3 linked regions of the Notamacropus eugenii genome follow. The protein of the gene in region 1 purifies or fractionates together with the protein of each later gene. This does not show direct contact. Links are inferred from orthologs where the notes say so. Each region holds a gene or a part of one and is shown in the gene's direction. Other genes may lie near its edges.

Region 1 (7,356 bases):
TTGAATTCTAACCCTGCTATGTCTTCTCCATGTGACTTTGGGCAAATTATTTCACCTCTCTGAGACTCAGTTTCTTTATCTGCAAAAAAAGGAGTGGCGGGAGATTATGGATTAGATTATCTCAGGGGTCTCTTCCAGTTCTAAATGCTATTCTCTAACAACGTTCCCCATTTTAAGTGCTCCCTGGTTGGGTGGGTGTGGGTAATAATGGAAATTGGTCCCCTATTTGTACAAGATATTGCTTACTATATATATGCAAGTTAGGCTGGGAAATCTTCAAGGTAGTCATTGGTAATGAGAAATACTTTGTGGAGAGTTAATGAAAAATCAAAGATTAGACTTATCAGTTTGGGTAAAAATTTCAGTGTAGGCATTATGTTAGCACTTCTCAATTGTCCTGTACTTCTCTCCTGCCATTCCTCCATCATTCTTCTTTTCAAATTACCTCTTATTTATTTTGCTTATGTCTTGTTTATAGTGTTGTTTCCCCAGAAAGAATATAAGCAACTTGTGGGAAGGGATCCTTTTATTTTTGTCTTTACATTCCTGATACCTAGTTGAGTCCCTGGCACATAGTTTTGTTTGTTTGCGTTTGTCCTTTGTTGCCAAAAAAGACCATGCCATCAGATAAATGATGACATGACTTGCACTTGCCTTTGTTTTGAGTGAGGGAGGGCTGTGCAGGTCACCAGCCTCACTTCTCCTCCAGAGCCATCTGAATCCAGTGACCAGATATTCATCGGGATGACTGAAGATGGCCCAGGATGCACTGGGAGACCTTGGGCCCTTTAGGACAAGGTCTTTGTAGGTGCTCACTTAGGATGAGGCAATGCCCATTTATGGAATAGACCTGTTTAAGAAGTAGCCAGGGCATGGACCCTTTAATGAGGCCAAGAAAAGACATCAGGCTGGGAGGGAAACAGCAATAGTTACTATTGATAATCACTATAAAGCTAGGAGGGTCCAGTGGAGCCCTTAGGCAGGGGCCCACTGGTGTCCCAGCTTCAGAGTGTAACAGGTTTAAGGTTTTGGGAGAGGACAGAAGAGGGGAAGGGAGAGGAAGGGGAGGGGGGAGAGGAGGGGAGGGGAGGGAAGGAGCCAGTAAAACCCAAGTCAACTTGGGCATCTTTTGGCCACCCAAATTTACCTTCCTTTGGAGAGGAGAAGGAAGGGGAGGGGGAGGCAGACAGGAGAGGAGGAGTTAAGTTATCCAACTAGCTGAGTCCTCATTCAGCCGGTTGCAGTTACACAAGATGAATGTAAGGGAGTATATGTATGTCTAACTCTAGGATACATATGATTGGTCAGAAAGTAGTAAATGTCATTATGACCCAGTACACAGCTAGTTCAGTCACTACACAGCTGGTTCAAACTAATAAATTCTGTAAGTGCAACTGGCTGCTGTAGCAGGAAGGGAGGTAACAGTTTTTGCTGAGGTAGGTTGTTCTTGGGCTAGGAAGAAACTGACTGGGATAGTGTTTTGAGACTAGGGAGAAATGTGATTTTTGAGAAAAATGTGATTTTAGAATTGGGGTTCAAGCACAGGCATCCAGACATTATCATAGGCACTGGGTTAATTTAGCACACTCTTTTGTAAAGAATGCATTAACAGATAACTACTAAGCTAGGATGCAATTTTCATAGCAATTAATATAAACTTACAGTTAAAAATAATTCTGATTTGCCTGGGATCAAATATAGCATTTTTTTTTGTCTTTACCACCACAAAAAATCTAATTAAGTGCCTACTATGTGCCAGATACTGTGCTAAGTGCTGGGGATACCAAAGAAATAAAAAACAAACAGTTCTTGCTTTCAAGGAGCTCACAGTCTAATGGAAGAGAAAAACATGCAAACAACTCTATATACAAACTAGATATATACAGAACAAAGTGGAGATTATCCACAAAGGGAAGGCACTAGTGTTGAGAAGAATCAGGAAATGCTTGTAAAATGATTGATGGTAAGAATTATAGCATTGAAGAGACTCTTCTATGGTTTGGTTTGTGTGTTCTCTATGCCTATTGGACTGAGTGGGATTTTAGATAAATCTTTACCTTTCTAAGGAATATTAGTGTAGTATAGACACAAGAGACCAACTATATGCCTCCGATTTTTGCCTACGTGAGAAGGAAGTCTGTTGCCCCAGAAAATTTCCTTCAGGAAAGCACGAAGTGCATTGACTGTCATCTGAGGTCTAGGGCAGATGCACATTCTTAGTCTCTGCCATGTGGCGATGTCAGCATAAGGGACTGAGCTATACCATGCTTCCCCACCAACAGCCATGTTGATGAGGTTATGAGTCTGAACCCACACCAAAATGAATCTTTGGAAGAAGACTTCAGTGGAGGGAGATCTCTGTGATCCTGAATTCAAATCCAGTCTGAAATACACACTAGGTGTGTCACCTTAGGGAAGTTACTTAACCTCTGTCTGCCTTGGTTTCTTCATCTGTAAAATGGGGATAATAATAGCACCTACCTCTTAGGGCTGTTGAGAGGATCAAATGAGATAATATTTGTACAAAGTGTGCCTGGCACATAGCCAGTGCTATATAAATGTTAGCTATTATTGTATTATTTTTATTTCTGTTAAATATTTCATCTAATTAAACCATTATAAAGCCCTCCTGTGGAAGAGCTCTGTCTTGGCCATCTTTATTATCCCCCTCAGTGCCTAGCCCAGTGGTTTGGAAGGGTCTCCCTCAAATCTAATTCACTTGCAAGTCAAGACATCAAGACATCTGATGTCACAAGAACAAAGGATCAGCAACTGTAACAAAAAGGTGTCTATCCTTTGTCATCCTGGGTCCTGAAGATCCGCTCAGGAAATAATGGAGGCGCTGGGTAAAGAGGAGGCACTCAATAAATGTTATAGTGTTATAGCGTCTCTAGAATTCTTCCACAGTATTGTCCTTCACACACATCAAGTTCCAGCCAGATTGGTTTGCTTGTTGTTGTTCCCAATGAAGTCTCCAAGTTATAAAATATCTATTGATATGGGCTCAGAGGATACACTTTTTAAAATCAGTGTTATCAGTCTTCACAAATGACCCTAGGAGGTAGGGGCTTTACAGTGGAGGAAACTGAGGCAAGGGGCGTTAAGTGACTTGTCCAAGCAAGCTTCCTATCCTCTCTAAGCCAAATGGGAATACTCCTACCGCTTCCCTCCACTGTGTGGAGAATCCTAGCAGACAGACTGAGTAAGGTGCTTGCAGATCTGGATACACTAAATGAGTTATTATTAGTTCTGGCTCCTCGCGGGACGTCCTCAGTTTCAGGAAACCAGTTCTAGCATCAGGTTTGCATCCGAGGTGCGGTCCGTAGGTCAGACGAGGGAGCTGGACCAGATTGCTGCAGCCCCAGCTCCTAGAAGTGTGGACGGCGGGAGGCAGGAGGATGGAGCCAGCAGCCGGAGGTCCCACTAGGGAGATTTGAACGTGGGTGCCCTTCCTGGAGGCTCCACCTCTGAGACTGTGATAGCGCACAAGGGCACTTAGTGTTTACGGAAAGAAGGAAGGAGGGAAGGAGGGAAAGAAGGAAGGAAGGAAGGAAGGAAGGAAGGAAGGAAGGAAGGAAGGAGGGAAGGAGGGAAGGAAGAAGGAAGGAAGGAAGGAGGGAAGGAGGGAAGGAGGGAAGGAAGAAAGGAAGGAAGGAGGGAAGGAGGGAAGGAAGGAAGGAAGGAAGGAGGGAAGGAGGGAAGGAAGGAAGGAAGGAAGGAGGGAAGGAGGGAAGGAAGGAAGGAAGGAGGGAAGGAGGGAAGGAAGAAGGAAGGAACGAAGAAGGAAGGAAGGAAGGAAGGAAGGAAGGAAGGAAGGAGGGAAGGAAGGAAGGGTGGGGCTAGTCCAAAATCCCGACATTGGATGGATGGGGAAATTGTGGCAAGGAACGTAACCACATGGTTAGGCAGCAATCCCCGATCAGCATTTATTAAGCACCTACTATGTGCCTGGCACTGTACTGCAGGCCAAAGACAGCGCTGGCCCTCGAGGGGCTCACACTCGATTGGATCAGAGGTGGGATCTGAACCCAGGATTTCTGCCCCCAGACCCGGTGCTCTTCCTCCCGCGGTTCCCCTCCTGGGCCTCAGTTTCCCCAGGTGTCCAACCCAATCGCGGGCGGGGGCGGGAATCCAGGCTACACGTGCCCAGCAGCTGCCGGCGCTCGCAGCCTGGCTCTGGGCCGGGGGGGCGGGGCCTTGGCGCGGAGGCCCCGCCTCCCAGGTGTGCTTCCGGCCGGCCCGGGGCCCTGGCCCCGCCCAGAGCCTGTGGGGGCGCGCCGGGGCGCGGGGCCGCGCTGGGCGGCGGCGGGGACGAGGACGGCGGCCCGGGGAGCGTGCGCGCGGTGACGTGCCGGGCGCCATGTTGGGGAGCTGATTGTGGGCGCTCGGGAGGTGCTCCGTCGCTCGCTCGCTCCTCTCGCTGCCGGTGCCACCGTCGCCTCCGTGTGTGTGCGTGTGTGCGCGTGGGGGTGTGCGGTGTGTGTGTTCGAGAGGGCGAGTGTGCGGGCGTGTGTGTGCGTGAGAGAGAGGGGGCCGGGACGGCGCGAGTGTGCGCGCGTGTGCCTGCGTGTGTGCGGCCTGCGTGGGGGCGCGCGTGTGAGGGCGGCGGGGGGGCGGCGGCGTTCCGGGCCCGGGGACTCGGGACTCCGCGGAAGGAGGCGGCGGCGGCGGCGGCCGGGGACGCGGGCCACCATGGACATGGAGAGACTGCAGGAGGCGCTCAAAGGTGGGGGCCGGGGGAGGGGGCTCCGGGCGCCGACCCCCCCTCCCGCCGGGCCCCGGGGGCAGCCCCGCCCCGCCGGGAGCTTTGTGCCGGGAGCCGTCGGGGCTGGGGGGGCGCCGCACCTCTCCCTCCCCTCCCCCCCGAAACCCGGGCTGGGGGGAGGAGGAAGAAAGAAAAAAAAAGGGAAACCGGAGCCGTCCCCGCCCCCCACTTGTTGGCCTCCTCGCGGACGGACGGACGGGCGGCCGGGAAGTTTTCGGACGGCCCGGCCCGGCCCGGGGTGCCCTGGGGCCGGGGGTTCGCGCGTTCCAAGCCGCAGGCTGGGGGTTCGGGTTGCCAGGGAGAGGCTCCCCGGGCTGGGGAGGGGGCGGCCCCCGGGTCCGTCCTGGGGTGCTGTTTGCCCCTGGCTTTCCTGCTTCCCTTGAATGACAGGGGGACGGACTCGGGGAAAGTTTCCGATTGGAAGGAGCCTGGGGTGGGGGGACGACGGGGGCGGCCCCGGGCTTGCGGGGGTCGCGGAGACCGGGGGTCGCGGCCTTGTAACCGGTCCTTTTCTGTCTCCATCCCCTGCCCAGACTTTGAGAAGAGGGGGAAGAAGGAAGTGTGTCCGGTGCTGGATCAGTTTCTTTGTCACGTCGCCAAGACCGGGGAGACGATGTGAGTTCAAGAACTTTATTTTAGGGGCTAGAGGAGGGCTCGTGGTCCGAGGCTGTGCTGGAGTTAGTGCGAGAGTTCAACACCGGCCAGACCTGGACAGCTAGGCTCCCAAGTCCGCTGGCGTGGAGCGGCCCGTCCTGGGAAGCCTGGCCGAGCTGTCATCCCTGCGAAGCGTCTTTGTAACGTTCCTCATTCTTTCCTTTAGGAGCCGGGCTCTTGTTCGCTGCCTCGTGTCCCGTTTGTTTGGGGTTAGCCTGGGAGACCCTGGCCCCAGGAGTCTGGGGAAGAGTTGGTTAGACTCGTACTTTGTGGTCCTGAGCCTGAGACTTCACTCCTCAGTGCCCGGGGCACTTTCCTTTGAATTGGCCGGGGTGTCTTGGTGGGGCTTCCAGAGGTTCTACTTGAGGAATTCCTTGTACTGATGATTCAATCCGAGGTCCTGAAACAAGTGTGCATCAGTGAAAAGGAAGAAATGCCCTCGCGTTCTTTTGGTCGTAATGGGAAGAAACCATTTCTTTTCATTTTGTAATTAAATTGTCTTTTGTAGGTAACATTTTCTTCAAACTGGTGTCTGATCTGGTGTAATGTTGTTAAGTGTGAAGCCCCGTATCTGTTGGTTTTTATTTTTCTTGGGTTAGGGAAAGAGGCAGATATTTTATTAGTGACATTTGCTCCTGTTTTCATGTGTCCTAGAAACTTTTTAGGATAACTGACTTGTTACACTCAGCATTTTATTGGACACTTGACCTGAAAGTCACCTTCATTTTAAGAGTTGGAGGATGTTTTTATCCATATCATGTGTAGATGTTGGTGTGTGTCACAAGGATTTGTTTTTGTGCTCTACCTAGGTTAATCTCTGGAAAGCTGAGCTGCATTGATGACTTCCTTGTTGTCTCAGTTTTTGGCAGGAAGGGGAAAGGTTTCTTTGGGTGCCATGCTAGGGAATAAGCTCTCTTTCTGGCTCCTTACTCAACTCTTGATTTGAGGCCTAGTACAAGATTATAAGCTTCAGCAAGTGATAGGTTCTTATTTTTATCAAGTATTGAATTCATACAGGATTTGTTCGTACTTGTATACTGTATCATTAACAAGTTTAATCTCAAAGAGAAAAACAGAACTTTAATGCTTAAACTAATGAACCTGTTCTAAAAGGTTTTTAACCTTTCCAGAATTCTGCTAAAAATGTACCAGTGAGTTGAAAGGTGACTGTCCATTTAGAAAAAATGCAGCTTGAGAAAGATATTTGCCTTAAATGCTATAATGTTGGGCTGTGTATGTACTGTAATTTTGAGAAATGATGAAAAGTAAATATACAGTAGGTACGTTATTTTACTATTTAGTTGAAGACAAGCCTAAAAATTATTAAAGTTTTGTTTGCTTAAGTACATTGATTTCTAGAATATCACTTATACAGGCTCACATTTTTAATCCTTATAGTTTGACTGATCAGTTAAGCCAAACATCTTTATCTCAGCAGGACATTTCAAAGGAAAGCAGTGGCATTGTTCATGGTCCCAAAACTTCTGAAGCTTTCCAATAGATAATTACTACTAATACCATCTGTGAGTAAATATATAAGGAGACCAATAAACCTGTCTGAATGATAAGATGGTGTTATACCTAGTTTTAGGATTTTTTAATTTATAAATATGGTAAAGAAGCCAATAGGCAGTTCTTTGAAAATTTCTTTTACTGACTCACTATTTGAATATGTCTATTTATTTGGAAATTATTTTTTATCCCTATTAGGGAATTTAAATGAATTTAGTTACCACAGTAAATATTTGTGAAATATCAACATCTGGAGTTAAAACAATCAGTATTTAAAGCTATTCATTCTGAGATTGTGGAACATTTTGTTTTCTTACCACACAACCAAGACATGTTTATGCTTTTTGCTTAGCATTTAATTTTTTCCCAGAATGGGTATGGATTAACTTTTAGTAGTGAAAGAGAAACTAAAATATTTGTATACC
Region 2 (7,973 bases), on another chromosome or scaffold:
TTTACATCTCACTGAGTTTAGGTCACAGATAGCCCAATACCACCACTTGTCTAATCCTACTGCCCTTTTCAAATTACACTCACCGTTTTAAAGTATAATCTCCCACCATAAGACACTATTGTCTTCACAAGACCCATTATGTTTCCCTATTAGATCTCCTTCATATATATGTGTATGTATGTGTGCATATATATATATATATATATATATATATATATATATATATATATGTATATCTGTTATCTTCAAATATCAGTTGTATAATAACTTTTAAAAGCTTTGGAGTGATAAAACCAGCAGAAAGCAATTATTTTTATTTTATTGGCTATCATTCATTCAGTATTCAGAAGGAATGTAATTTTATAGAGAGTTACTATTTACTTTATTTAGAAAGGGGCATAATGGAAGTATCCTTGGATCAAGGAAGACCTGAACTTGAATCTTGACTGTATACACACTGGCTGTGTTGCCCTGGGTGAGTCGCTTAAATTTTTGGTCCTCCAGGGAACATTTAAAGAGAATGAGTTGCAGAGAAAGTGCTACCTGCATTGGGAGAGGGAATTTCCTCATCTTGGAGTTAACATTTGGTAAGGAAATCACAGGTCCAGTCCTTATTCCCCTCTATGAAGGCACTCAATTAAGAACTATTTGTGGAAATTAGGACTCCAAAGAAGCACTCCCAAAAATTCTCAAGAAGAGATGTGACTAATGATCCTTATATAAATGGGGGTATGGTGTTTCTTGAGGAAGGAGGGTATATCACTGAGGGTCTGAAAGAATGAGAGATTCCAGAAGTCCAGAAGCCAGTAAGAGGCATTCCTTAAGGCTATTACTAATCCAATGCAGTTTCTCCTTCTTTTGAGCCTTGGGTTACTATGGGAGAACCATTATATGAAAGGTTTAAGCATGGGCTTGAATCAGGTGAGGTACAGAATGGTGAGAATCTGAGCCTCCAGCTACCATAAGAACCACCACCTCATACAGACCAGTATAAATAATAATTGTTACTTTATGCTGTAAACAAGGGCACTGTTGCAGAAATTTACAAAGATTTCAAGCTATTAAAACACTACAAAGGTTCTAGAACAAGATTTGCCTTCAGCAATGAGACTCACCTTCCCTCTTTCTCCACCCCAAGCTAGAACAGAAGACAGGATGAAAGGGCAGCAACTGCATAGCTGTATAGGGGTCTAGTCTCATTAGGGACTTTTAAAAACAAGGGTCACGGAACTACAGGTGACCAGAAAACGAAAGTTCCTTTCTGTCTAGAGGAGAAAGCAACTTATCATTTTCATCCTTGATCTAATAAGCATAATTCAATCTGAAACTACATTCATTTGGGGGAAATGACAAATTGGGTCAGTAATATTCTCCTAATGCAAGAGAAAGGGCAAGTTGGTGGAAGAGGGGGTAGGGTTAAAATTAAGCCTGAATCTACGACTGATTCCATTTAGCACAATTTCCCAAATGTGTGTAGATCATAGAAAATTAGGGGTGCAAGGTATCCCCAAATATCAAGGAATTTCAATATGATCTCTTAATCAGAGGTCTGATACCACTTTAGAATTTGATATAAAAGTCCAAACCTCTTCTGCCCTCCTCCCCTCTCTGGTGTGTGATCTCTTCAGGAAAATGGGGTCATGCAACAACAGGATATTTGCACGTATGTGTTGCTTCAACTGCATTTCTCTCTTCAACTTCCGTTGGAGTAGCTGTTTTAAATGCCTTGGTAAAGAAGGTCATATTGAGGAATGTTCTTGGGATCGATTGGACTTTGGACGATGAGTTTTCCCCGCATTGCTCCTCGATAGATTACTTCAACCAAGTCTATGAAGTCCTGCTTAGTCTTGAAGCTTCCCACAAACTTAGTGTGGTCTGGAGACCTAAAGGAAAGGGTGTGAGAAGCAAGAACCCTGTTTGGAAGCACTTCAAACCAGTGGACTGAAAACCTTCTGAAAAATGAAAACGACAAACTACCATCAGGGAGATTTTGGACACAAGCTCAGTGTTGGCCTTGACTGCAAATACGGCTTGGAATAAAATTTGTTAGGGGGCTACTTAGAATAGCAGTTTTGCATTTGATTTAACTCCAAGTCTGATGTAAAAGGGAATGAAAAATTTTCCAATTACATTTCACTGTCCAAAGCATTTACTATACAAAGAGCATGAGTAAGCAGACAGGATCCCTAAAATGACTTGGAGTTATGCTTTTAAAATACGCAATAACAAGATAGACAAACAACTCAACTGCAGCAACAGTCAATTATATTGACTACAAAGATAATGAATTGGAAATAAATGAAAGAGTTTGCATTTTGTATAAGGAGCACTGCTATCAGTTATGTGTTAAGGAAGGATATTTAAATTATAAAATGAGGTGTACTATATTCTTTTGTAAACAGAAATTATTGGTCCTAGAAGTTTAGAAATATTTAAATATTTTAGGTTAAAGAATTCCTCAGTACAAACAAGAGTTACTTATTATCTGTCAGATTCAAAATTCTGATAGTATTTTACAAATTATTCTGTCACTCTATGCTGAAATGTAACCAACTTAATAGGAAGTAGACATTTACCCATGATATTCAGGAAAACTGCTGCTTCTCATAAAAGTGTTAAATTGTACCTTTAGATTTTTTAAGATGCTGTATCCTTCTCTCTTCCAAGGGAAGTGTATACATTATTTTTATAAATATATAAAGGGAAGGTATGTATATATTTTTTATAAATATATATCAGTACATTTTTCATTATTATTATATTATTTAACTGTGAAATGCTTAGCAAAAAGCTAAGGTTTTCAGGAAAAAATTTAAATTTTTCCTTGAAATGAGGAAACTTAGAGAGAGGATACTAATTGGGGAAACACCAGTTTCAAGATTTAATTATTGCAAGATTGACATGTGACAAAAATCATGTTTAAACAAAAGCAAATAAAAGAGTTTTGATAGTGCCAATGTCAATTTCACTTACCCATAATCCACTTTCATATGCTGCCCATTGAAGAAAAAGATAGTAGATGGAATATAACTGATGTCAAAATACTGGGTGTAAATTGGTGTTTGGTCCACATCTACCAGATATATCGCAGCCATTTTACTTAAATCATGATAAGTTTTAGAAAGCTGTGGAATTGAAATAAGATAGAGGTTATAATACAGGAGGAAGCTAATTGTTTTCTGTGATGTGTTTCCGAGTAGTGTGTTAAAAAAACACTGTAGCAAGGATAAATAAAATTTAGTTTTGATGTTAAGCTACATGTAACCTTTCTGTGGGAGAACCTGAAGCTGTTCACATACATTCCTTTTTTCTCAGGGGCAGCTGGTGGCAAAGTAGATGGTGGGCTGGGCCAGGAGTCAAGACAACCCGAGTTCAAATCTGGCCTTAGGCACTTATTAGCTGTGTGACCCTGGGTAAGTAACTTAATCACCGTTTGCCTTTGGTTCTTCAAGTATAAAATGGGTATAACAATAGTACTTTTCTCACAGGGCTGCTGTGAGGATCAAATGATTATCACAGTTGGTTCTTAATAAATGCTTATTCCATCCATCTGCTTTCTCTTCCTGTCTACAATTTACACGTTGATGGTGACAACCAGAAACACTTCCCTCATCCTCTCCTTCCCCTCTCAGGCATCTACTCGGAATGAAATGAGCCAACTGTGTCAATATATTTCCAGAGGTCCAGCAGTGTGGGCAGATATGGGGAGAACTGCACAGATGACAATCATGGCGCACGTTTTTCTGGCCACTACCTTCATGACAATCACTTCACATGTGGATAGTGGGGAATATGCACACACATGTATTACACTTACGTATTGGAATATGTATAATACACAACATGTATCATACATTACAAGTTATATGCTATACGTTACCATATTAATAAGATATTATGTAATACTACATACGTGTGTGTATGTACATGTGTGCATATATCTATCTATATACACATACACATGTATAACCCAGAGAATTCCGTGTAAAACACACTCACGATGTCATCTATCTGCAGACAGACAGGGTCCTCGTCTCTTCCAAATCTGAGCACCAAAACCTTCTCCGCAGTACTCTTTATGGCCTGGTCTACTTCTCTTTTGGAGGCAAGCTTGGGCAGCAGGAGGCTCATCCTGAACCGGGGCAAGCCTTAGTCGCGGCCAGCAGACCAGATCGAGCCGCAGGGTCCGCGCTGCGGGACAGAGGAGGACGTCCGGAGAAGGCGTGGTTCAAGCCCCTTAGTACAGACACACAGACACACGCACGCTCCCTCCGACCCTGGGTCACACGAACCGCTAACCCGGCGGGAACGCCTGCGGACACCCCACATTCAAATTCATACGGTCCCCAAAAGGCCCCGACCACCCGGCCTTGTCACCTCCCTTCACAAAGATCGAAATTTCCGTGGAAGCGCTCGTATAAATAAAAATAGCTCACATTGATGTCACTTAAAGGACTTTCCTGATCCTACAAGAGAAAAGAAATCATTAATGTAATAAAGGCCGCTCGGTGGAGCCACCCCCTGCCGCCAGGAAAGTCAACCTCAGCCCGGCGTCGACGCGGCACCGCCCCGAGCCGCCGTTGCTTAGCAACCCCCGAAAGACAAATTCTAAGGCGGAGGTCATGGGTGAGGAAGCGGAAGACTGCTTTTAACGCGCATGCGCACACAAGCAGCTTCCACCTCGAGTTTCTCGGGGTCGGTGCGCGCTGCGCGCTCAGGTTCCCGGCTGTCTCCGCTTCTCAACTGACGGAAGACACTACTCTTTTCCTCTCACGCACGCCCGACCGGAAATCACCGAGCTTGAATCGCTTCCGTCTGCATTTGCCAATCAGCGGTCCCCCAGTTCTGACGGTACCTCCCAGGGCTGCCTCGCGTCTGGATTCGGGTGCGTACGATTGGCTGTCAGGGAGAGTCGGAAGTCTCTGTGATTGGGGCGTAGCAAGAGGCCGCTCTAGCGCCAGCGTCCCGGTGGCGGGAAGCTTAGTTGTGGCTCAGCTCTATGGTTCTCGGACAGCTCTCGATGGTTCGTGCGGCTGGATAGAGCGGACGGCGCGGGGCTTTGTGGGACGCGAATGGCCGCTTGCGAGACTCCGTTCCACTAGGTTGTGAGCAGACGGATGTGGGGCAAGTAGAGGAGCGGCGGGGCCTCGGAGACCCCCGGGCGGCGTGGTGAGTGATCTCTTCCTCCTCCCCCCAGGATCGGCCCCGCACGGGGCTGCGGACCAGGGGTCGCGTTGGCCCGGGAAGTTGGGGACGCGTCCCGCAGAACCTCCTGCGCGTTTCCGACCCGCCTTTCTTTACCAAGGCAGCCGGCCTGGGAGGGAGAGAGGCCGGGGCCCGAGGCCAGCGGGGTGGCTGTGGGCCGGCAGGGTCACGGCCCTCCCCGCCCCTCCCCAGTTACCCTCGTTTGGACGCGTCTGCTTTGCGTTGAGCCCCCAGAGCTGATCGCAGTGCCAGGCCCTGAGTAGGTGCTTAATAAATGCTTGCCATTGGCTGAGAAAGCACTTAATTAATGCTTGTCGACGTGTTCTCGTGGCATAGTTCCCTTGCTCGAGACCCAGACCCCCACCCCTTATTATTGAATTTACCATTTCATGTATGTTTGAAAAAAATTCCAGTGCCTGGAAAGGACCCTAGAGGGCTTCTGGTCAAACTCATTTTACAGATGAGGAAACTGAGGCCCAGAAGCGTCATGAGGGTTGCTTGAGCTCACGTAGCAGGTTCAGATCCGGCCGTGATGTGAATGCCCGTCTGTGAAATGCCCTTCTGCAGAGCTGTGGGTGTTCACGGGAGCTGAGCCAGTAATTTAGGGGTGTCCCAGGGCCCAGGGTGCAGGGCAGAGCTGGTAACAGCCTGTCAGGCATTCCAAGCAAGCGTGCTCTGTGGAGAGGGTCAGGCAGAGTCAGTTGTGCCAGCTTTACTGGGACACCTTTCTTTGATTCTGAGCCTTTGTTTAAGTGAATTGTCAGGTCACCTGAGTTATCACAGACTGGTACATGCTGAGGGTCACTCTTGTTCTGTAGGTAGCCTCTTTTAGAACACGTATCTGATGAAACGTGGATGATACTGTGCGCTGCAGAAGGATTTGCTGCTGTTAATTTTTTGGATTTTGTGTTAGAAGGGCAGAGGAGGGGAAGAGGCATTCTTTTAGTGCCTGTGGGGAATAGGTCGTGTGTTTATTTTGTTTTAATAAAGCTTATGCTTAGTGAGTCCTCCCTCTCTTGGATAGAGGACAGTCCTTTCGGGGTCTTTTTGTATGTGTGGGTTGGGTCTAGGGATAGGGGTGGGGAACCTACCGGTCTCTAGGTCCTCGGGTGTGGCTTTTTGACTGAGTCCAAGTTTTACAGAACAAATCCTTTTTTTTTTCTGTGAAGTCTGGATTTGATCAAAGGGCCACTTGAGGACCTAGAGGGCTGCATGTGACCTAGAAGGCCACATGTGGTCTAGAGGGCATAAGTTCCCCACCCCTGGTCTAGGCCAAAAGTAATTGAGGAGTGTGTACTCACTACTGAAGCCATTCTAGGGAACTCTAAAGCTCATTTGTTTTCCCTCTTAATGGCTGACGGATGCCGGATGATTTGCCTTTTCAGAGAGTTCCCTAAGCCTGTGATGGAAGACGCCAGTGATGAGGGTGAGGCCTCAATTCATCGGCTAGAAGGCATTGACCAAGAGACACAAGTTGGTGGCCTCATTTGCAAGACCAAAAGTGCTGCTAGTGAGCAACATGTTTTCAAAGCCCCTGCACCTCGTCCCTCGTTGCTGGGGTTAGATCTGCTGGCTGCATTAAAACGGAGGGAACGAGAGGAAAAGGATGATGGGGAAGATAAAAAGAAGTCCAGGGTCTCTTCCTACAAGGACTGGGAGGAAAACAAGGATGAACAGAAGGATTCTGAGGAGGAAGGGGGTGACCAGGCGAGCCGAAGCAGCAGGAGAGACAGGTAAAATCACTTGGGTGGTAGAACGAAAAGGGGATGCACTGGTGGGGGGACACTGTAATAACTTGTCTTTATTCCTTAGTTTTTTTTTGGAAACGTCGTGTCCTCCATGAACACCAATTCTTAAATTATTGTAATGATCACAGAAAATTTGGCATTCTCATCATGCCAGTTGGGGAAAGGGAGACTTTTAAGAATAATTACTAACTAAAGATCAGGTGGAAATGTGGATAGTTAAAGTGAGACTAGAACCCAAATCTCTTCTGACTTGGTCAGTGCTACCTACAAGACTATTCTTCTGGGAAGGTAGCAGGACAAAGGGTGAAATACTTGTTTGGAGCAACCAAGAGCTTTTAGGGACAGAAGTCTCTTAGTGGCAGTTTCCTCTCTCCTCTTGGTTCAGACATTATCGAGCTGCCCGAGTAGAGACACCATCGCATCCTGGTGGTGTGAGTGAAGAGTTCTGGGAGCGCAGCAGACAGAGAGAACGGGAAAGACGGGAACATGGCGTCTACGCCTCCTCCAAAGAAGATAAGGACCGGAAAAAGGAGAGAGCTCGGGATCGAGATTATGACCGGAAGAGAGAGAGAGGTAAAGGCTTTGGCTTCTTCCTGGGAGCAGTGGGGAGGTCTGTCTTCCCTCAGGGGGAGGCTGTGGGCAAACCAATGCTGTGCTTCTACATCAGTGATTACCAACCATCTATTAAGTGCTTCTGTGTGCCAGTCACTATGCTAGTCACTAGGGCTTCAAATAGAATAAAACAATCTCCACTCCCAAGGACTTTACATTCTAACATGTGCCCCACTTTTGGAAGATGAACGGGACAGGAGTCGGCACAGCAGCCGATTGGACCGAGATGGAGGCTCAGAACGGAGCAGCAGGAGGAGTGAACCAGAAAGCCCAAGACATCGACCAAGAGGTAAGCTGGATGGTTAGCATGTTGACATAAGAGCAATCTTCGGGTTTCAACTTTCTAGTCACCTAGAGTATTCTGGCTCCAGATTTCTGGGGCAATAGAGTTTAGGTCTAAGGTGCTTT
Region 3 (7,995 bases), on another chromosome or scaffold:
TCAAACCAAAAAGCTTAAATGATTCTAGAATGATGGGGATCATGGAGAGGATCAGGAATGAACTAGAGAAAGAAGCAAAGGATGTCCACTGGTTGATCTGGGAGGGAGTTTCTTCCAAGCATGGAAGATGGCATTTGAGTAAAGTCATAGAATATTGGCAAGATGTATGGGATAAAGAACTGTGAGTGATTGGAGGATAGAATGCCTGAAGGGGCATGCTTTGAGATTAGAACTGGAAAGATAGATGAGGGCCAGACTGTGGAAGGTCTTGAATAGTAGGTAAAGAATCTTTCTTATTATTCAATAGGTAATATTTAATAGGCAACTCCTGAAGATTTTTGAAGAGGACAGTGATGTAATCAGGCCTGAGCATTAGAAAGATTGCTTTGTGAGTGTTATGAAGGATGAATTGAAAGGGAGAGAGAATGTGACAATCAACAAATGTGGTGGTTGTTACAAAAGTTCCAATGACAGGCAACAAGACCCTACACTAGGGTGCTGGTATTAAAAAGGGAAAAGAAGGATGAGATGTCAGAGATTTTGCGGAAGTATAATCAAGCCTTAGGGACTAGGGAAATGATGATGCTATTAACAGAAGCAGGGAAGCTAGGATTAGCCTCAATGGGAAATTACCATTGACACGCAACATGGAACCATGGATAGGGTCCTTGATCTGGAGTCAAGAAGACCTGGTTTTAACTCTTGCACTGGAAACTTTTGAGTTATATGGTCATAGGTCATGTCACTCGACCTCCCTGTGTCTCAGTTTCTTCGTCTGAAAAATTAGGAGATTGGATTAGCCGACTTCCAAAGTCCTTTTAACCCTGTATTTATGATCTCATTGCTTGCAAGTATGAGCTCAAAAAATAAAAAATTCTTGTCCTTTGCCTAGTATTGCCTAGGCTACCCAGAGAAACAGGAGGTACTCTAGAGTCTCAATGACATCAGCCTGGAGAAGTTTGGTGCAGAGAACACTAGAGGGCGGTGCCTCCTTGGACTGGTGAAGTGGAACATTGGGTTACTGTAATATACCTGTTACAGAACATATTTGTGATTTCCCCTCCTTTTAAAAACAACAACAACAATAAACAAACTTTCTTTTGATGTATTGTGGCCAGCTTGCAAGTGGGAATTGGTGTCAATGACCAATCTTCAATGGAGAGATTCTTCAGGCGGGAAACTGATTCAAGAAGAATGTGGGACCTCCTCAAATAAGTAGATCCAGTTCTTTGACTAGAAGAAGGCCTTTGCCAGGACAGAGTGGCAGACTCATCTTCCTGAGTTCAAATCTGGCCTCAGACACTTACTAGTTGTGTGACTTTGCAAATCACTTAACCCTGTTTGCCTCAGTTTCTTCTTCTGTAAAATGACCTGGAGAAGGAAATAGCAAACCACTCCAGTATCTTTGCCAAGAAAACCCAAAATGAGATCATCAAGAGTTTAACATGATTGAAAACAACTGAATAAAATCAAGCCAATACATCCATGTGGGTATCCTTCCCATAAAGATCATAACTTATCCATGCCTGCCTACCTTGTATGACCTCTGTCCCCATCATCCCATAAATTCATATGTTTTTAATTTTTTCACTAGAGCTGCTAAGCATGCCAAAAGGTTCTGAGGTATTGTTGGACATAAGTCATTATCCTCTTCTTGAGTGATATGATTTCTTCTGAAAATGTAACAACTCCAGGCTTACCCAGCTCATAACCTAGCCACTCATCCACCTGCCCTGTATTACATATTAGCCATAATTCAGGAGATTCCCTCTCTTCTGCCCCCACTTTATCTTTTCCACCCCTTGCTCCCCCACTCAGATAGACCTCATTAAGAGCTTACCATATGGTAGGCAACTCCTAAATTTTCACCAAATTTCAATTTTACATGCTTCATGTTTTTAAACCCACAAGACATTTCCACAATCCAATCAAGAATTCTATATTTTATAGAAATATAAATTACTCCAAGTTCAATGCCTTAGGCATTCTTGGTTGGATTGCAATTATAGTGAACAGAGCCTCGATCTTTGGAGGAAGTTTGTATTGCTGGGTACAAGTATGTTCAAATCCTGTACCTTCCAGTTCTAGGCTATAATGAATGACCTTTGATTCTGTGAAACCCCACCATCAATCCCCACACACCCTAGTCAGTAAACACTGCCTAATTAGTCGGGGATTCCTTATCTGGGCTTACCACTACATTATGTATGATATAAAACAAATGAACCTCACCTAACTCTCATTCACTTGGAGCTATCCTACCAGATAGAATGAGGACGAGGAAAAGAATATATGAGTAGATATAAGAGCAGTAACGTTCAACATTGAAAGCTTAAGGAGCTTTTACAATTTTTTTAGCTTAGATAAAAGACAGTTTGGGAGGGGCATGATTTTTGTCTTCAAACATTTGAATATTTGTAATATGAGAAAAGAGATTTAGTCTGTGTTGCTTATGGAATTTTAAGGCAGATTGTGGTGCAACATAAGAATGAACAGTCTAACAGTTAAACCTGTCTAACAATATAATAGGCTCTGTAAGAGATGAACTGAACTTATGTAATATCTGTAACACCAGTGATAATCATTTAATATCATTTTGAATTCTCAATAAGGGTCGGAGCCTGGACTAATCAACCAGAAGAAGAACCTGGACCTAACAGCTTCTTTGTTCTCTGAGTAAACTCAGAGAATACTTCTTCCTATGTCAACAAGGCCAGATGGGGCTGACTTAAGAACAGCCATTTTTTCTGTTTATGACCATTAACGATGAGACCCTTAACCTGAGATGCTATCTTGGATAACGGGACTTTTTCTTAGTATCTTATGGACCCATACTATGTTATATAGCATGTCAATGGTAAAGAAAATGCAGATATCCTGGGTTGTAATTTCAATGGACACTTTGTCAACTCTTTTATCTTATTGTGTTTACCACCTATTCAATTAAGATATCACCTAGCCTGTTTGCCTCTTTAACCAAATTTTCAAGTCAGCCAGAAAGACTGTACATCAATTAAGGCCATTCCTTTGAAAGAATTTATGACTTGCCAAAATATAAAGGAAATGAGAATGTGGTGATGGGGGGTTGAAATGTGAAGTGTAATCAGAGGTGGAGTTTTAAGTATCATGGGATAGACTGGGAACCCAGCTACTGCCAACCAATGGGAGCAAGGGAGAGAAATGGGAATTGGGGTGAGGTATAAATATTGTATATTTGCCTTAAACAAGTGTGCCTATGTTTAGATTACCTGCTCTTGAAAGGACAAAATAAAATGCCTTCCCGGGTTTATCAGTTACTGTCTTATTCTTTTGCAAGCAACATGCCTCACAGCTCTGTTAATGGATAAGGAGTTCATTATTACTGAAGGAGCTAAAAAAAGAGTTTGGGTGACTAGGTCATCTTTCAGGAATAGTGTTAAAAGGAATGCATGTGTTTGCATGGGAATTTGGGCCAGATATCTAAACTACCTTTGAGTATTCCAATATTCCATGGTTCTGTAGCCACATAGATTTGCTGCGTACTTGTGCAGCCTAATTATCTGTACCACAACCTCTACCTCTCATTGCTACTGGCTCATTTATCTGTTAATTGTCTTTCTGGGTTCCCAAGAAAAGTAGGTTGTGGATATCTCAAAGATGACTATTATTACAGTTTTTTTTTTTTTAAATAATTGGTTTGCTTCCCATCTCACTCTGAGCTGAGGAAAATCTCTCTCTTTTGAGTTGGCTCCCCTCCTTCAATTCCAAAGTATGCACTTAATGACTTGGACTAAAAATCAATGTAAATGACTATCCACTTTAAAAGCAGTTCCAACTAGCATATGATTCAAATAAACATTCCTTCGATTAATAGGCTATAATATTGCAATGGGAGAACTGAATCTTTTCCCCTTTACCTATACTCTCCCTCCTAACTGTACAAGGGGAAATGGGAGGATAAGTAGTTGGACTGATAGCCTGGGACTCCTCCCAGGCAATGCTTCAGAGGGGTAAAGAGAAAAGTGCTTCGGACTAGGTTCCAGTGGTCTGTCCAATTCACCCAAGTTTGTTGAACCAACCATCTTTTCCAACTTTGGTCCACCCTCAGCCACCCCATGAGGTGTCAACTTCACTTCTTTACCCTGCTTTTTATGATGGGCAATGCTCTTTCCTGGCCATTCCCTGACGTTTCAGTGGAAGAGGAGGGGTGGACCGGCTCTGCCCACAGACCCTCTTTGGTATTTCCTCCTAGAGTTCCTCTGCATTCTGGTCTTGTGACTTCTGGGCATAAGAAAATTCTAAATCCCCCAGGAACTTAGTAAACTGGATAAAATCCATGTGTTTTTGTGTCTAAGCAACACCCTTCGCCCCACCGACCCTCCACGGCAGTATTCCTAGGGGGAAGGCTCGAGGCCACCTCTCCCTATGGAGGATGCTACAGGCTTACTTATGGGAGAATCAGGATGACGTAATCGCGTGTGAAAGTTTTGTTACTTTGTTTCATTAGGTTAACCACGTGCTTAAGAGGAACCTCTCTGGATTGTCCGCATAATCAGAGCCGTGGGCATCTTCCAAAAAGACGAAGTCAGCTTCAGCCTCGCCTGGCCTTCGCTCCTTCCCTCCGGGCATCCAGGGAGATGCCAGGCTGTAGAGGGGCAGTCCTTGGGGGCTTCTACCCCTCTGGACCCTGACAAAGGGACGGAGCCTGATTTCCATCCTGGGCCTGGAGAACAAACGGACCTCGGAACGTTCCTCTGGGAAGTTAAGGGGAAGCTTCCGTAGATCACATTTTATAGGAAACAAACAAACAAACAAAAAAAGGAAAGTGATGGGTAGGGAAATTGCACCAATGAAAACCCAGCACCTCAGGCTACTTCTTGAGCCCCGCCCCCCGCCTGCGGAAAGGCTGGCGATGACATCATCCCATGATGCCACCAAGTCCGCGCCCGCTCCCCGGGTCCAGGCCACGCCTCTCGACTCCCCCAGCCCCGCCCCTCCTTCCTTTTCCTAGGACTTCCGGCGCGTCGCAGCCTCGTCGCGCAGGCAACCTGCTCCCGGAAGCGGAAGGAGAAGGCGGGGGCAGGCGGGCCGGCAGGAAGGCGGGAGGAGCAAGGGGCCCAGGCAGTGGGCTGGGCTGGGCCGGGCCGGGGAGCGGAGCGGGGCGGGGCGGGGCCGGGGATGGTAACGGCTCGGGGGAGGAGGGGGAGGTGGGGGCGGGGGAGAAGGGAGGCCGCCGCGGCTCGCGCTGGTTCCGCGCCACCACCGTGGCCATGATGATCCACGGCTTCCAGAGCAGTCGCCGGGACTTCTCCTTCGGGCCGTGGAAGCTGACGGCGGCCAAGACGCACATCATGAAGTCGGCCGATGTGGAGAAGTGAGGTTTGGGGAGGGCGGGGGAGGAGAGGTCGAGGCCGGGCGGCCGGGCGCGGGCGCGGGCGCGGGCATGAGCAGCACTGGGGAGGGGCGGTCGCTCTCGGGGCCGCTCCCCGCCCCCGCGGGACCTCGAGGCCTCCCTCGGGCGGCTGCAGAACTGCCGGCGGGGCCCTGCCCTGGACGCTCCGAGTGCGCGTGCGCGGCCGCGGTTTGACGGACTCTGGGCCGCGCTCCTGCCCCCGCCCCCTCCCGCTGCCCCCTGGCCCTGGAGTCTGGGGCGGGCTAAGTCCGCGTGGGTCCGGGAAGGAGCGCCGGACCTCTGTAAGTGCAGGGGCTTGGGTCACATGTCGTCTGGACTGTAGACCAGAGGCCAGACGGCAAAGCTCGGCATCTTCCAGCTCTGCATCCCCAATCCACAGAAAACCCGGATTCTTGTCCAGCCCCTGAGCCTGAGTAGCCTTGCTACATGGGGCCAGTTATTTAGGACTGTAGATTAGGAGGTGCTCATTTGCATTGGGGAGAAGGAGTTTTCTCTGGAAGCTCCCTCCCCCAGGAGCCCCAAACACCACCACAAACACTAACCAAAACCAAACTTTATTCTTGGGTAGTATTTCTAGGCTGGTGGTTTCAGGCTACTGTTTTAGACTATAAATGAGGAGTTGTCTGTGTACATTGGTAGGGAGAGTTCTCCACAGTGAAAGAAAGCGCAGGCTCTGACCCAGAACAAAAGGATGCATAAAAAAATACCAACTCAAAACAGACATTTTTCGTAGAGAGCATCTCTTACGTTGTCATTATCCACATGCTGCTTTTGACGCTAATCATTCAGTCTGTCAGTGTTACTGTTGGGAATGTAAACTAGGAGTTGAGTTGTTGGAGTAAGTTTTCACACTGGGAGTTCCATGTACTAACAAAATTAACCTGCTCCCCCTTCCAAAAATGCCCCAGAACAACCAACACAAATTTTATTCCTAGGCAGTGATTTCTGCATACTTGTACAATTGGCAATGTTGAGAATACATCTCACCAGACATGAAATGGGAGGTGGTACCCTTATTTCTAGGTAATTATAAGTAGCCAGCCCTCCAACTGGTTTCTTAAAACAAATCTCAGCGTATTCTGAAAGTGAAGTGGACTTTCTTCCTCACATTTTCCCTTAGAATATTTCATTTTTCTCCCGTCTTGACTTCTGCCTGCTTGGCTCAAGTGGATATCAATTGAGGAAATGATGGTAGGTGGGAACGTAAGGGATAACAGATAACTCACATCTTCTGGTGATATGTTGAAGATGTAAAAAGATCTGTATCATATAATAGGGCTCTTCTCTGGAGGATCTGTTGAAGACAATGGATAAGAATTGCATAGGATGAAAAGCCTGAGTGCATTTTGGTTCATACCATGAAGGTTCATACCATATCCATGGAATTACAGATTTATTGAAGTATTGAAATACACAACAGATTCCCCTGCACATGGAGTAGGGTGTTGTTTTTTTTTTTTATTTCTAGCACCCATCACAGTGTCTTGTAATATAATAGAGGCTTTATTAAATGGTAATTGAATTGCGTTTCCTTGCCCTCCTAAATACTGAGGCAGCTTTTGACAGGTTATAGTTTGGTATTGATTAGATATGTTTGGGATAAGATTTAGAGAAATTGTAAGAAGGACAATTTTGAATTTTGTGACATATAAAAAGTCTAAGGGACATATAAAAGGGTCAGTTGCACTCTTAGTTGCCAAAGACCTCTCATAGAACCCACTCAATGCTTACATGCCCCTAGAAGAAGAGTTAGGTGCTGCTAAGGCTGGAAACCAACTCTTGATTGGTTTAATGAATTAATACTATAATAAGAGTCAGTTAATTGGAACGAGGGGCTGGCGGATGTCACTCAATCTTGGACAGATCTCTTATCTGGACTACCTCCACCTAGGGCAATCAGACTTGACTGACTAAAACACTGTGGGCCAGATTTTACTGGATTAGAATCTCTTCACCTTTTGATCAGATCTGAGTTTTCCCAGTGGATGTGTCTGTTCAAGACTTCATCTCTTTATCAGTCCTGCCCTTTAAAACTGATTGAATGACCTACAGGGAATGATGAAATAGATTGGTTATTAATATGAGAGAGAAATATTCATTTCTCTCAATTGTAATAGTCAGGGACTCTTGGACAGTTTTTATATAGGAATATATCCTTGGGTACAGTAGCAGTTCAGTGACTTCAGCCATCACGAATGCAACATAGGACTCTTTTTAGAGACATCCTCTGAGAATCCAAAATAGTTATCATAGAGCTTATTCTCTAAAGTGGTTCTCAAACCCTTTTATACTCTTATTAAAGATTATTGAGGACCTTCCTCCAGTAGCTTTTGTTTATGTGAGTTGATGCTATTGATACTTGCCATAATAGTTACTGAGCTAACATTGTATGCCAGGCACTGTGCTAAGCTCTGGGGATATAACAAAAGGTCTACAAAACAAAACAAAAACAGTTCCTGCTCCCAAAGAACTCACACTGTAATCAGGTGGACAACACGCAAACAGCTATTTTCAATTAAGATATATACAGAATAAATTGGGTCTCACATGAAGGGCTAAGAGAGACTTTTGCAGAAGGTGGGGCTTTAGCTGAGAATTGAAGG

Evidence for each region. The genes of interacting proteins can lie anywhere in the genome.
Region 2: the proteins of PPP4R2 (region 1) and DHX38 purify together in Homo sapiens (affinity purification with mass spectrometry; 3 studies listed by BioGRID and IntAct, counting the BioPlex papers as one, with this or other methods). This does not show direct contact. The link is inferred for Notamacropus eugenii from reciprocal best matches to the Homo sapiens genes PPP4R2 and DHX38.
Region 3: the proteins of PPP4R2 (region 1) and TIPRL purify together in Homo sapiens (affinity purification with mass spectrometry; 5 studies listed by BioGRID and IntAct, counting the BioPlex papers as one, with this or other methods). This does not show direct contact. The link is inferred for Notamacropus eugenii from reciprocal best matches to the Homo sapiens genes PPP4R2 and TIPRL.

The regions. Positions count from the first base shown.
Region 1 is NC_092874.1:450,208,387-450,215,742, reverse strand, and holds the start of PPP4R2 (serine/threonine-protein phosphatase 4 regulatory subunit 2), read left to right. Parts: upstream 1-4,348; 5' UTR 4,349-4,692; coding exon 4,693-4,726; intron 4,727-5,298; coding exon 5,299-5,380; intron 5,381-7,356. UniProt on the Homo sapiens protein: Regulatory subunit of serine/threonine-protein phosphatase 4 (PP4). May regulate the activity of PPP4C at centrosomal microtubule organizing centers.
Region 2 is NC_092872.1:711,877,466-711,885,438, reverse strand, and holds the start of DHX38 (pre-mRNA-splicing factor ATP-dependent RNA helicase PRP16), read left to right. Parts: upstream 1-4,962; 5' UTR 4,963-5,169; intron 5,170-6,590; 5' UTR 6,591-6,609; coding exon 6,610-6,938; intron 6,939-7,338; coding exon 7,339-7,526; intron 7,527-7,749; coding exon 7,750-7,854; intron 7,855-7,973. Other genes in the region: TXNL4B (thioredoxin-like protein 4B), read right to left, coding at 1,718-1,883, 2,974-3,125, 4,000-4,131. UniProt on the Homo sapiens protein: Probable ATP-binding RNA helicase. Involved in pre-mRNA splicing as component of the spliceosome.
Region 3 is NC_092873.1:478,322,560-478,330,554, reverse strand, and holds the start of TIPRL (TIP41-like protein), read left to right. Parts: upstream 1-4,984; 5' UTR 4,985-5,249; coding exon 5,250-5,353; intron 5,354-7,995. UniProt on the Homo sapiens protein: May be a allosteric regulator of serine/threonine-protein phosphatase 2A (PP2A). Isoform 1 inhibits catalytic activity of the PP2A(D) core complex in vitro. The PP2A(C):TIPRL complex does not show phosphatase activity.